Linked DNA regions of Pelodiscus sinensis. The protein of the gene in region 1 binds, or shares a complex with, the protein of each later gene. Links are inferred from orthologs where the notes say so. Each region holds a gene or a part of one and is shown on either strand. Other genes may lie near its edges.

Region 1 (7,334 bases):
TTAACATTATGTTGCCATTCAGTTACCACAGCGATGAATACAGTTTAAAAACAAAAAACAAAAACCAACTTAGGTAGAAAAACAAGCAGCTTCATGAACTCCCACACAGATTTCCATTTGATGCTCTACCAGTTTTGCAGTGGAATACACAACGTAAAGTTGGACTACCTACATACACCTCCTAAACCACGCAATGTAAAATGCATTTTAAAATGCAACCATGTAACTGCTAAAAATCATAGCGGTTACACACACAGTGGGCAGCGAAGCCTCCCTAGGAGCAAGGCCAGCAAGGGCTGCTGCTGGCCCAACTCCCCGGGGTGTGAGGAAAGTTTCTCTGCAGACTCTGCTGCAGCTGGGGCAAGGGAGTAGGTGGCCAGGGCTACCACAGACAGGGTGGAGAGCTATTATAGCCCCTAACAGTTAACAGAATTGTTATGCCTCTCCAGTTCAGGGTGATGCTTACTGGTTAACAGGTTAACCTTTTAGATCCCTGAAGTTAAGCATTTTTACTGTATGTCATCTGGAGCAGATGCAATTTCAGAGGCTTGAAAGACAAACACCATATTCCTGTCAAGCAGAGTACCAGTGAGACATTGCTGATGATTAAAGCCGGATCAACCCTTAACACTTTTCCCCCATATAGATGTGTAAGCTTAGGGTTAATTTATTTTATAAGACCACATAGGTATATGGGCAAAGCCTTAACAGAGTTACAGTAGCAAAACGGTGATTTTATCTATACAATGTATTTCACTCACCAAACCATAAGCTATACTGTCAAAAGATTATTGCCAATATAACTGTCTACACTAGAAGGGTTCTGCCAGCATACCTTACAACAGCAAGCACAGAAGTGTAAATAAGGAAGATTTAATAAGTTTCTTAAAGTCATTTTCTCTGAATACAAGGTTTCTCTGTTTTACTATAACCTTATTTGTCATCTTTTTTTACTGTTACAGTATTAAACTGAAACAGCAGAGAGAGCATGCTGGTCATTATACACACACACACACCCACATATATACACATGTGCACACATGTGTATATATACACACACATACAGAGCAAACTAAAACCTTGTCTGCACAAGAACTTTGCACCTGTTTAATTAGCCTGACAGTTAAACCACTGCAAACCTGTTCCTAAATTGACCAAGTCATAAATAAGCATACCCAATACAACCTTTTTGCACCAGTTTAACTAAATCAGTTAAAAAACCCACAGTAACAGGTATATAAATCTGCATGTAGACATGCTCTTAAAGTCTCACACTACAAAACTATTAGAAAATCACTGTCTCACAATGTTTAATTTTACTAGACTAAATTAAATTTCTGAAGTAAAACAATGTAAAAGCTCTCTCAAGAATCGGGTTGCAGCTCATAGTTGAACCAGGAATCACTCCACTGAGGCACTCAGTCAGTACCTGTTGCATCCGTCAGGGTGATTGTGGTTCTTTTTATGAATCAACTCAAAAGTGTTTTTGAAACAGTAAGTGCAAAGTCTGAGCGTGCAGAATTACAAACACATAGAATAGCCTGTGGAACTTAGAGTCTCAATCCTGAAAATGTCTGTACAGTATGAAGACATCAAATCAAGTGCACTCAAGCTGTGCATTCTAGAATGCACTAGTTAAAGCAGGCTATATATAAATAGTAGTAAAATCTGAATTAACCAAAATTCACTATCACCTAACTGATTCATTAGAAACCTGAAGTTCTACTTCATGTCTGTATATCATTGTTGAAGAAAGTCTGATACGTCAAGAAGAATTGAACGATTTAAAAATGATCACTACAAAGTCTATAGTTTTGAAGCAAGGTTTCTTGTGTTTAAACAAGATGGAAAGACTTATCAAGTTAAGCCTTTCCAATGAAGGAGTGGTGATTTTTTCCTAGATGAATAATCATAAGGTATGTTCACTTCCTGCAGCCGTGAATCATTTTCCTTTACAAAAACACTATTTTCTTTCCTTCATTTTTCTAATCAACATAGAGCCAACCTCTTTTAGCACCAAAAAGGATTCAAAAACATCTGCTACAATTAAAACTAGCAGCAATCTTTCTAAACAACCACCTGTCTCAAACTTATTGAGATTACAAGATATTACTTTTAATGAGATCTTTCCTCTTAGGCGGCTAGGAACCTTTTGCAGGTTGGACTGGGAAGCTGACCCATACTACCCTTGATCCCATGACTGACAAGCAAAAACACACACAAAAACAGAGGGGAAATAATGCCCGCTTCACACCCCATCGGGCTCTCCCTAAGAAATCCCGTGGGCAGACGGGAGACAGTCATTCTCCCTTGGGATTGTGGGTGGCCTCGCAAGCCTCTCCCCTCCCTGCTCCTTCTGGGGGAGAAACACCCACCCACCCGCGGGCTTCGGGACCCGACGGGTCGGTGAGATCGGCCTCCACGCAGAGGGAGGCCCCGGGGAGCGCAGGGGGCCCCCTCCCCGCGGCGATCTCACCCCCATGGCCCAGGGAGGCCGCCACCAGACGGGAAGTTTTCCCACCGCGGCTCCGCGACCCTCGCAGGAAGCCCCGAGCCCACAGTGGCTGCCCAGCGCTGCAGCCGAGGATGAGCCTGTGCGGCGAGAGCTCGAGCGGGCAGCGGCTGCGCCCCGGGCCCCGCAGCTAGGCCGCGGCGGAGCCGCCAGGGTCCCGCTGCAGGATCAGGCGCAGGAGAGAAACTGCAGCGCAGGGCCCAGGAGCGACTGCGGCGGCCGAGACCCTCCCGCCCGGCTCCCCGCGCCGTCCCGCCCCCGCCGCGGGGCCCCCGCACCTTCTTGATGTTGTAGAGCCGGGTGAGCATGCCGATGCCCCGGTCGTTCAGGATGGTCAGTTTCTCCGCCAGCTTCTGCTGGCTGGGCTGCAGCACCGAGCGCGACATCCTGCTGCGGCCGCCCCGCGCTCGCGGCCCAGGCCCCGCCGCCTCCCGGCCCGGCCCCGCTCACAGCGCCTCCATCGCCGGCCCCGCGCTGCCCTCCGCTCGGCCTCGCTCGCAGGCTCCGCTAGGCGTGGCGCCGGCGGCGGCTCTGCCCGCTGCCCACCGCCAGCCAGGCCGGGCTCTGCCTCCGCGTCACATGACGCGCCGCTCGCTGCCGCCCCCTGCGGCCGACAGCGGGAGTCGCGGCCGCCGGGGCGAGATTGGCTGGTCGCGCTGGGTCGGAGTCTTGCCGCCCGCTGGCCCGGCTGGGGATCAGAGACGGGGCTGGGCGGTGACTCGCCTGGCCTCTCTTCTGGGGGCTCCTATTGAATCCTCTTCAAGCAGCCGCCACAGTGGGGCCAGGCCCCAACAGCCACGAAGTATAACCCATCCTCATTCGCCCCATAGCACGAGAGTGGGATACACCTTCAGCTTTGGGGAGGGGGGCTGCTGGGGTCCATGTTGCCCCAGGCTAGCAACTGACTTTTTTAAAGAACAAAAATTGAGATTTTTACATAATCCTGGGATTCAGGAGCTAGAGTCAAAAGCCAGCATACCAACAGCTGCAAGCATCGCTGTCCAATAGGGTCCTTCCAAATTCAAGCCATGAAAAATATGTTGGCTGTGAAATCGGCCTTCCTCTGTGAACTCTGGCCTTTTGTGTCCTTTTACCCTATACTCTACAGATCTCATGGGCAGACCAGCAATATTCCTTTTAACTTTTTCCCCAACCATGTGTGGAATAAATTTTGTTATGTGCACAAAGGCATATGCAGATCAGCAGAAACATGTGCTGCCAATTGTGGGCACTCTGCTAATCAGCAAGGTGACATTTGAATCTCTTCTGGGTGGCCACCCAAGTGCACAATTTATAGGGAACACTGGAAGCCAGTGTTACTCAATTTGGGAATCCTGATCCAAAAGGGCATTGCAGGAGGGGTCACATGGTTATTTGGGGGGGGTCATTGTATTGCCACCCTTACTTCTGCACTGCCTTCAGAATTAGGAAGCCAGAGAGAGGTTACTGTTGGCTGGGTGACCAACTCTGATGGCAGCACTGTGGCCAGGAGCAGCACAGACATAAGTGTAGCAGTATAGGAACCTCTCGAAAAATAACCTTGTAACCCAACCCCACAACTCCTTTTTGATTCAGGACTGCTGCAATTACAATACTGTGAATTTTCACATTGTAATAGCTAAAATAATGACATTTACAGGCAGTCCCCGACTTACGTGGATCCGACTTACGTCAGATCCCTAGATACGAACGGGGTGAGGCAACTCCCGCACATGCGCAGCAGCATTCCCGGGGCTCGCTCACCTGGGTCCTAGGATCCTCCTCCTCCTCGGGCCGGCTCCGACTGGGGTCCCGCAGAGCTGCCGGGCAGAGGAAAAGTGCCTCCCCACGCCCGCTGCCCCCCCCCCCCCCCGCGGCCTCGCATCCTGCACGCCTCCCCCCTTCCCCCTGCCAGCAACAGGCTGCCCCCTACCCTGAGCAACAGGCTGCCAAACAGCAGACAAAAGCAGCCTCTCCGCCCCTCCTCCCCCTATACATGCTGGGCTCCCTGGGCAAACAAAGACTCCACCAAAACAAACAAAGTGCTGGCCTCATTGTGTTAGCAAAAAAAGGACCCTCCTCCTAGAACCCTGGGTGGTGTGTGGAAATAAAGCTATTAGCTCAAAGCATGGTGCAGAGCTGTTTGGTATTTGATGAGTTACTCCTTTAGTCCTGAGTTTGTCACAGGGACAGAAATAGATGTGAAATCTTCTGAACAGGGGAACAGACAGCAAAACAAACATTAGAGGGGAGTTAACCTTTCCCTATGTTATCCAAAACTAAAAAAAATGTTTGGCTAGAGTTTCCCCTACAATATGTACCAGTTCCGACTTACATACAAATTCAACTTAAGAACAAACCTACAGTCCCTATCTTGTACGTAACCCGGGGACTGCCTGTACTATTTTTAAAATCCTGTGATCATGAAATTAACCAGTTTTGATGGATGTTAGATGTTTGGCTGCATGTGTCTCTTCTCCCTGCATGCTGTCCTAGCTCTTCACAGACAGATACAAAGCTACTTCTAATACAAGGTCTTATGTTTTTTAGTACAACCAAAATGTACCATGGATTTGATAGGTCCCTACTAATCAGCCCTGAGTACTGGCAATACTGCAGTCTTTCCCTTTTCTATTCCAGCTACATAATGCTGACATCTTGGGGTCAGTGAAACACACATCCATGAATTCCCCAACTGAAGAGTCCTTGAGCCCAAATCATGGAGTGGGGGAGCCAGGGAATACCACCTAGCTGCCACTAATAGCACGGTAGGGTTGCCAGGTGTCTGGTTTGAAGCTTTCTGTTTGGGAAACAAATTGAGAAAATATAAATATCCGGTATTTTCTACATAAGATGTAATGTAGATTGTGATGTAATGTCAAGTGTGTCCGGTATTTTTGTTGAAACCATTTGGCAACCCTAAGCACAGGTCTGCTAAGATGCTCTCCAGATGGGTGCAGGACCAGGCCTTGTCCTTTCTTGGACAAAATATCTACCAGAATATCTTATTCCTTGGTACACACCTCCTGTTCTCCCTGGCTCTTCAAGTACTGTCTTCAGGTGGACTAAGGTCTATCTGGGCTAGAGAAGGACTCAGCCTCTGTTCACTTGAGCAGAGGATGCTGCTGTATCATTAACTCCAAGTTCTCAAAAATCATGAGGTTGGCTTAAAAATCATAAATTTGGAGATCACTTTATTTGCTTTGTGGTGTTTGAGCTGGTAGGGTACACTCAGGTACCAGTTTTATACATTATTCTACCAACATGTGGGCTAGAAACATTTTTAAAATACAGGCAGTCCCTGGGTTACGAACAAGTTAGGGACTGTAGGTTTGTTCTTAAGTTGAATCTGTATGGGTACGTCTACACTACAGCGCTAATTCGAACTAACTTAGTTCGAATTAGTTAATTCGAACTAAGCTAATTCGAACTAACGCGTCTAGAACTAAAAACTAGTTCGAATTAGCATTTTGCTAATTCGAACTAGCGTGTCCACACTGATTGGACGCAGGGGGGCATTTAAGGGCGGCTGAAACCGGTTCCGGCAGGGCATCAGGTCAGTAGTTGCTTTGTGTGGCTGCTGTCTGAGGCTATCTGAGGCTCGTGCTTAAAGGGACCCCCCCGGACAGCCGGTTCTCAGCTTTTCCTGCTTCCTTGCCAACCTCGCCAAGGGACAGCAAAGCGTTGGTCTCTGTGCCCGTCTGTGTTGGTGCTTCCCTTCGGGGCCGCCGCCGCAGGTGGCAACATGGAGCCACAGCTCGCCCTGCACCTTCTGGTGCACTTTCTGGACTTGCTGCTGCAAGCCTGCCACCAATGGCTCAAGGCTGCCTGGCACCTCCTGGTGCACGTCAGCCCCCTGCCTCTCCGCCTGGCCACCCTGGGGGCCGTGGAGAAGCCGCGGCAGCGCCCCGGCACCGGCATGCCCCGCCACATCTGGCGTCGACACCAGCAGCGACTGGTGGGACCGCATCGTCCTGGAGCGCTGGGAGGACCGACAGTGGACCCAGAACTTCAGGATGAGGAGGGACACCTTCCTGGAGCTCTGCGAGTGGCTCGCCCCTGCCCTGCGCAGAAGGGACACTTGCATGAGGCCCGCCATCCCCCTCCAGAAGCGGGTGGCCATCGCCCTCTGGAAGCTCTCCACGCCGGACAGCTACCGATCCGTCAGGAACCAGTTCGACGTGGGGAGATCCACCATCGGAGCGGTGCTCATGCAGGTATGGCACTCGTCGGCCACCGAGCCGGTGGGGAGGGGGGCTGCGAGGAGGGGATGGGCCGCCCCAGGGACAAAGGGGGGCCAGGAGGAGGCGAAAGCGCCCTGCACCGGTGGGGTCGGTCTGTCCCGGCCGTACTACACGCCGCCAGGGGGGTTGCTTCCGGGAGTGGGGCGCGGGGCACTGCCAGGGCATGAATGCTCCCAGCCACCCAGGCGCCCCACTGATTGGCGCTTTGCTGTGTCTCTCTCCGCAGGTGGTCAAGGCCATCACCCGGGTGCTGCTCTGCAGGGTGGTCCGCCTCGCCGACCCGGACCCCGTCATCCGGGGATTCGGCGCCCTCGGCTTCCCCAACTGTGGGGGGGCCATCGACGGGACGCACATCCCCATCCGTGCCCCGGAACACCAAGCCTCCCGGTACGTCAACCGCAAGGGGTACTTCTCCATCCTCCTGCAGGCCGTGTGTGACCACCGGGGACAGTTCACGGACATTAATGTGGGCTGGTCCGGCAAAGCACACGACGCCCGGGTGTACCGCAACTCCTCCGTGTGCCAGCGGCTGCAGGACGGGACCTTCTTCCCTGACTGCCACATCAGGGTCGGGGACGTGGACATGCCCGTGTGCCTGG
Region 2 (7,201 bases), on another chromosome or scaffold:
CTCAGCGGATTCTTGCGCAAGAATGGCCGTACTTGTGCAATAACTCGCCAGTGTAGACATAGCCTCTCTGCTTTGGGTAGCAGACAGCGGCTTTTGCAGAGCAGGCTCTGCTGCTTCCCGCTTTGTTCCCAGCTTGGTGGCTCTTGGTAGTAGCCACACAGGATGTGTGTTTGGTGTGGGTGGGTGGGTGGCTGGCAACCCTAAACCCAATGTTCCCGCTAAATTTTTCTATCCATGCGCGGAATACATTTTTCTGTGTGTACCAGGCATATGCAAACATGTACCAACCGTAGGAACAAAGCTGAGTGCTCTGCTAATAAGCTGGGTGGCACTTGAATCCTGAGTGGCCACACAAGCGCGCAAGGCACACAGGCCAAAACCACTCATATATCAGAATAAGTTGACATGGGGGGGAAGTCATACCCGTGTAACTAATAGCTGGGATGTGAAAGGTTAACCGGTGATGCTTACTGTTTACAGTTAACTGTTAATTGGTGGGGGCTGGAGCATCTCCCCTCCTGCTGTGGGCAGGGGTCTGCTCCAGCCCCACAGGGAGCCTGTTTGGATAGGGGATGATCTGAGCTGCCTCTGACTGTGGTAGGCCCAAACTCCCAGCAGGCAGGGACTGCTCTGGCTAGGCTGGAGCAGCCTCTGCCCATGCCCTCTTTAATGGGTTAACTGGTAATCAGGTAACCAACTGAACGGGAGTTTACATCCCTAGTAACTACACACCAGTGGTAAAGCTTGCCACTGCAGGCAAGGCCTAAGAAAGAAGACAGAAGGTCACAGATCTGGACAAATTACTGTGAGTAAAGTCTCATTTTGGTGCCACAAGTGAGTGCTGTTTGCACTATAGCACCACTTACTTCCTCTCCCCCCTCTCCCGCCAATAAAAAATGAGCCAAGCCCAAGGATGAGCCCATAGGTATCTGCAACTCCCACTGAGAGGGAGCCAAAATGAAGAAGCCAGATGGAACTCAGAGAACTTAATGACATCAACATGTTTTAAACAGCTACAGGATCGACTATGAGCAGAATCTCATGCAAACAACTCACAAGGATAGCATTTTGTGGACAGAGCAGGGCTGATTAGTGGAATGGTCACAAAGGGAGCACCAGCTGAAGGGGAATGTAGGCTTCCCACCCCCATGAAATCTCCCCACATAGCCCCACCTCCATATGACTTATTTCCACCCCCGATCCAGCTCTCCTCATCTCCTTGGCATGTTACCTAGTGGGGCAGCGCCCCTTCTCGCTGTGCCTCCTCCCAGGCAGCCTCTGGCTATGCTGCCTAGTGCAGCATAGCAGGTACCTGGGAGAATGCAGCCACTGCACTGGGCAGCATCCTATGCAGGAATCATGGTATATTAAGGAGGGGCATGAGACCATATATGTTCCTCCCAAGCGTAACTCCAGGGGCAGAGCTTGAAGATACCATTTTCTATTCTCTTTCAGTATGACCTTTGAGGCATGTCTAGACTCCCCTCGGCTTCCGAAAGATATGCAAATTAGGTATGAATTTGCATATCTTCTTCCGATCCCTTTTTCGGAAGAGGATTTAAAAAAAAAAAAGTAGTCTAGATGGGGTTTTTCATGCAAAACCCTCCCTTTTTCAAAAGAACCCTTATTCCTCAAAAAATTAGGTTTACAGGTTTTTTTTGAAAAAGGGGTTTTTGCGTGAAAAACCCCATCTAGACTGCTTTTTTTTTTTTTCAAAAATCCTCTTCCGAAAAAGGGATTGGAAGAAGATATGCAAATTCACACCTAATTTGCATATCTTCTTTCTGAAGCTGAGGGTAGTCTAGATTTGCCCATGGAGTCAGGGCAGGTGCTCTATGCATGCACTCTGCTGTTGGCTTGCTTTGTGAGACTGAGTGAGTTACTTGCCCTTGTTTTCCCTGTCTGCAAATGGGGCTGAAGTAATGTTGTGGCAAGTGGGGTCTTCCGTGAAGAAACTGCAAAATTCAATGGTTGCACATTTGTAGTACGTGTTCATTTTAAGTTCCTTTCACTGCCACCACAGCACTCACTATGCAACAATCTGTTTACAATATCTGCAGTGCTTTTGACCCACACCTCTGGACTTGAGTGGAATAAAAATCTCCCTTCCCAGAGCCCTCTATGGCTATCTATACAGCAGCGTTATTCCCAAATAACATAGTGTGCATCTATGCTACAAGCCTTTATTTCAAAATAATGTTGAGCTGGAGGACTTATTACTCTGACTCATGGTAACCATCATTTCATGAAGAGTGAGGGAAGTTGAAGAAAAAGTGTTCTTCCTTCGACTTCCTGCAGTGTAGACTATGCCAAAAGGCAAATTAAGCTATTTCGACTTCAGCTACACAATTGACATAGCTGAAGTTACATAGTTTAATTCGAGTTTAGCTCTGCTATGTAGAAGTGACTTAGCACAACTAGCCTCTTTCCACCACTTCCTTCCTGTGCATCTCTATCAGACTTGGGCTGATGGGCTAATTGACTCCTTATCTCACCCAGTCAGCCTATCTAATTATCTCCCTCTGCTTTCTCTCGGGAACTAAGTGGCATCTAAGTGACAAGACAGCTGGCTTGCTCTTTAGCCTCTAGCACACTGTCACGCAGATGATAACCAAGTGGTCCTATAAACATATTCTTCCACATTATTCTCCTTGGCATACAAGCAAATTTTGAATCTTGTAAAGACATGCTGTATTGTTGGTAGTGTTGGGTTATGTGAGGTTTTGCTGTGTAGAAGCCAATTGGGGAAAGAAGGAACTGTATGAGGCTCTTTGCCTTGAGCTCTGACTAAAGTAAATACCTGAGGCCCAGATTGCTCCCTTGGAATCAACTGGATATTGGACCTGTTGCTGGGCTTGGATTCCTAGAATCCATGATTATCTGCATGCTATTGGACATGCATGCTATGGCCAGTTTGATTAAAATGCAGGCTGAAGTTCTGACATCAGACATCTCCACACACAGAAACCTATCAGCCACCATTTTAATCAAACTGGACATTCCCTTAAAGACCTGACAACATGCGTCTTACTACAAAGAGACTTTAACACCTGATTACAGAGGGAGACTTCAGAACTTTTATTTATGCTAAAATTTGACAGGTTGTGAATGGGCCTTAATATGGATGATAATTACCTGACACATTACAAACACAGCCTCCCCACCTTTTGATATTCATAGTAAGTCCAGATTAGCCACTTAATTAACTCTTAATAAGCAATTTCCTCCTTCCGTGTCCCCTGGCCCCCACCTTCTGTTCTATGTAGCCCATTCATTAGTTTGTAATTTGTTTACATTTTTCATTGTATCCCTCTGTTACATAATGGTCATACCAATTCTCTTTCAGAGTATGATCTGAAGAAGTGGGTCTGCTCCACGAAAGCTCATCACCTAATGAACTATCTTGTTAGCCTTTAAAGTGCTATATGACTGCTTTCTCTAATCAAAATATATCTAAATCTCACATCACTGCTTTCTCTTATATTTGGAAACTCCACGTACAGGTCCAGGATATCTGCTATCTTGTGGCACAAGGGCACCACTAGGTCAGACCAGGACACTGATTCCAGAAAAAAGAGCAATAATAGTGTTATGCTGAAAAGTGTTAATGGCTGCCGTTCAGAAGTCTTTAATATGTGGACAATCTCAATGTTTGTTACAGCCGCTGAGAAAGGTCTGCCTGGATAATCCAGGGAGGCAGGGTAGATGGGAAGAAGGTGTTTAAATACTGAGTGTCACGCCTTTTGTCTCTCCCCGTTGCAATGCAGAGCGGGTCTCCCCGAGGAACTGGCTCTATGCTGTTTAATTTCCCTCAGTTGCAGCTGGCCCAGCCCTATCCTGCTTTGAACCAAGCCGGTGAAACGAGTGGGACTAACAGCTCAGCTTTCCCTCTAGTGAGAAACTGCTCGTGTGGGAGCGAGCACCGAGCTCAGCCACGGCGCAGCCTAAGGGAAGAGAACCACCCCAAGCCACACCTTGCAGCTTCCCCGGCGCATGCCCACTCCCAGAACCAAATACCGCGGGGAGGGGGGCGGGGTTGGAGAGGAGCAGACTACAACTCCCAGCATGCAGTGCGACGGGCATTTTCGGGGTGGGTGGGGAAAGCAGGGCGGCCTCACGAAAGCGAGGCGAGGAGGAATCCCACAATACCAGGCGGGTTGTGGGCTCGCCGCCGCTGTCTCTTTAATGCAAGAGGAAGCGATGCGGAGGGGAGGAAAATGGCAGAGCTGCAGATGCTGCTAGAGGAGGAGATCCCCTCGGGCAAGAGGGCGCTGCTCGAGAGCTACCAGAACCTCACGCGGGTGGCCGACTACTGCGAGAACAACTACATCCAGGTGAGGGCGGCCCGGCGGGGCGCGGAGGGCGGCACTGGCGGGTGCAGGAAGTGGGCACCGAATGTTGCAACAGCCGGAGGAGCCGCCGCCGATACATTGTATCGCCCGGCAGCCGCCGCCGCAGCGCCCCGGTTCCTCCGCCCCCTCCCTTCTTCGCTCTGCCTTGCAACTTTCTAGCCCCAGTGCCTCTTACTCCCCCCACCCCACGCCGCCTGTGCTTGTGAGCAGGGAGGGGTGATTCTGTCGGCTCAGCCCAGAGGGTGTGTCTCTTTTATTATTTATTTTATTGTGACTCACGGCGCCCAGATGGGGGAGAGGGTGGATTTGTATATGCCTCTGATTGAGCGCTTGAAAGTCTGCCTCTGTCAGACCAAATTCCTCCTCCTCTTTCGTTTCTCCCCCTCTCCCCCCCCCCCCCGCCGCCGTTTGGCTTTGGAGTGGCTACAGTGTTATTTTCAATAATCAAACTAACCATTTAAAAAAAAAAAAACCCTGAAGTTCTGGGTTCTTAAGTCAGTTGCACAGACGTAATAGGCATCAGCCCTTTTCATCTTTCCGGGGTGGGTGTTCTCTCCCTGTTAGTTGTATAAAGAGGTGAATTTCAGAAAGGATGTAAGTGTGAGGTTTGCAAATGCTGGCTGTGGCGAGTGTTGAAATACAAATGACTGACAAATGCAGAAATATGTTTGTATGTTGGGGAAGAAAGAAGGGACACCCCCGCCCTGTCGCCCTGCCCCCCCAGTGGATTTTTTTTAATAGTTGGCATCTAATTCTCACTTAAAACTACATACATGAATTGCATTCCTGGCATTCTGTACTGGTGATTTTGAATTGTTACAATGAGCAGTACTCATGTATATAGGCGGTAATGTGCAAACATGATGTGCTATTTCAGCATGGCAGTTTCTCCTTCTGAGATAGTAAAGCTGCTTGCTTCATAATTCAGACATCCTATAGCAATATTTTTAAATCAGGTGTCTCTTGCCTCAAGGTGCACCCCAATGCACTTGTTCTTGTATCTTGCTGCTTCAGTTTCCTTAGCCCTTTTTAAAACTCATGTGTGTACATTTTTATTTTGGCTTTGAAAAGTATGTTCATAGTAATCTTTGTATACATCTGAAAATAATTGATATAATTGCATGTATACATGTGAACTGAAATGGACACAGTGCCCTTCCAGATGCCCAAAGTAGTCCACAGAAAAACTTTCTTAAGGAAAGAGAAATTAAAAATTGTGCTTTTTTACTATGGCTTTTCCTTACAATGTAAGTAAACCTGTTGACTGTAATCTATCACTGCCTAGGGCTAGGTGTAACTTAAAGTTAATATAGCTTTTAATGTTTTAATATTTAGCATTTGCCTGAAACTAGCAACTATTTTATTTGTGCAAGTGGGATAGTAATTTAGTGGTTTTATCAAACTTTAACTATCCCTCAACATCCCTTTGTGAAATTACTTTTTTCTGACATGTCAGGCAATGCTGTTTGATATTTGAATTAAAATTCAAATAGCAAATCAGAACTTGTTTTAGAAGGCTATAAATCCTTCTCACAGTGTCAGGCGATAAGGGTTAAACTGTTCTTATTCAGTTACGTGCTCCACCCTAAAAAAGCTGGTTATATAAATGCTTCAGAGAGGCGAGGTTGCATTTGGGTTTACTCATGGGAAATATGACAAACACAGTAGTGTGGTAACTGCAGCACATGTTTTGACCTGTCAACTCTTTTTTCTATTTCAGGAGAGTTGTAGAGCTCTTTCTGGCATTACATGTTGCTTTCAAATCTTTTTAAGAGACATGTCCTCATTGATCATTTGAAACGCATCAAACCAAGAACCACCTTAAGAATCAAGGCTAGCTGTACACAAATCAGTATATTTTACAGTTTTGTCCTCCTACAGCTGTGTATTCCTGTTGCAAGGAAACAGAATTAACTAATGGGAATAAATAAGTAGTAGTTTAGTGGATTTTATACCTAGTATGTAGTCTGTCCAGCTTTAGCCTAATTGAGTAAAAGTGCTAAATGAGAAATTGACATTTAGTGCAAAACAATTTTCCTAGTGGTTGTGTAAAGCCATCTGTTCTATAGTTAGAATAGTATAAAGTAGGGATGTAAAATCCCGTTTAATTGGTTAACCAGCTAAACATATTTAACCAGTTAAATGGTTTAAAACAGGGGTGTCCAAACTTTTTTCAAAGAGGGCCAGATTTGAAGATGTGAACATGCGTGAGGGCCGTTCCCGCACTCTCAGCCCCAAGGCGGAGGGCCCGCGGGGTCGGAGGCGGGTGGAGAGCACAGGGCACGCCGGCCTCACGGCGTCCCGGGGGCAGGGCGAACCCGCAGCCGAGCGGGGGAGCAGGGCTGCGGACCTGCCCTACAGGGCAGGCTCTAGGACCGCGGAGGCCATGGGCGGCGGCGGCGCGGCCGGAAGCGGCACGCTGGGCGCGCCAGTTCAAAAGAGCGCCGGGGAGCCGGGAGAGGGGGAGGAAGCGGGGGCCGTATTAAACCGGAACACGGGCCACAATTGGCCCGCGGGCCGGACTTTGGACATGCCTGGTTTAAAGGGATGGGCAGATGGAGGGGCTGCTCCAGCCCAATTGCATGGAGTCTCCCACCTTCACCACCACAGGCAGGTGGTTGTTCCAGCCCTATGGGTCCTATTGCAGGAAGGGCTGGGACCCATAGGGCTGGAGCAGCCCTCTGCCTGTGGCAGATGGGGAGCTGCTCCTGCCTCCATGGGTTAATTGAAATGCACCATCCATTAAGGGTGATGCTTACTGGTTAACCATTTACATCTCTAGTGTAGAGATAATTACTTTCTGTCTCCTGGAATAGTAGTGTCAATATTGGGGTGTGGCATGCCACAGG

What was found.
Region 2: NCKAP1 (region 1) and ABI1 share a complex: the UniProt entries of both Homo sapiens proteins name them as parts of the WAVE2 complex. The link is inferred for Pelodiscus sinensis from reciprocal best matches to the Homo sapiens genes NCKAP1 and ABI1.

Annotation. Positions count from the first base shown.
Region 1 is NC_134717.1:49,699,405-49,706,738, forward strand, and holds the start of NCKAP1 (nck-associated protein 1), read right to left. Parts: upstream 3,082-7,334; 5' UTR 2,899-3,081; coding exon 2,791-2,898; intron 1-2,790. UniProt on the Homo sapiens protein: Part of the WAVE complex that regulates lamellipodia formation. The WAVE complex regulates actin filament reorganization via its interaction with the Arp2/3 complex. Actin remodeling activity is regulated by RAC1.
Region 2 is NC_134712.1:226,076,318-226,083,518, reverse strand, and holds the start of ABI1 (abl interactor 1), read left to right. Parts: upstream 1-4,098; 5' UTR 4,099-4,217; coding exon 4,218-4,334; intron 4,335-7,201. UniProt on the Homo sapiens protein: May act in negative regulation of cell growth and transformation by interacting with nonreceptor tyrosine kinases ABL1 and/or ABL2. May play a role in regulation of EGF-induced Erk pathway activation. Involved in cytoskeletal reorganization and EGFR signaling.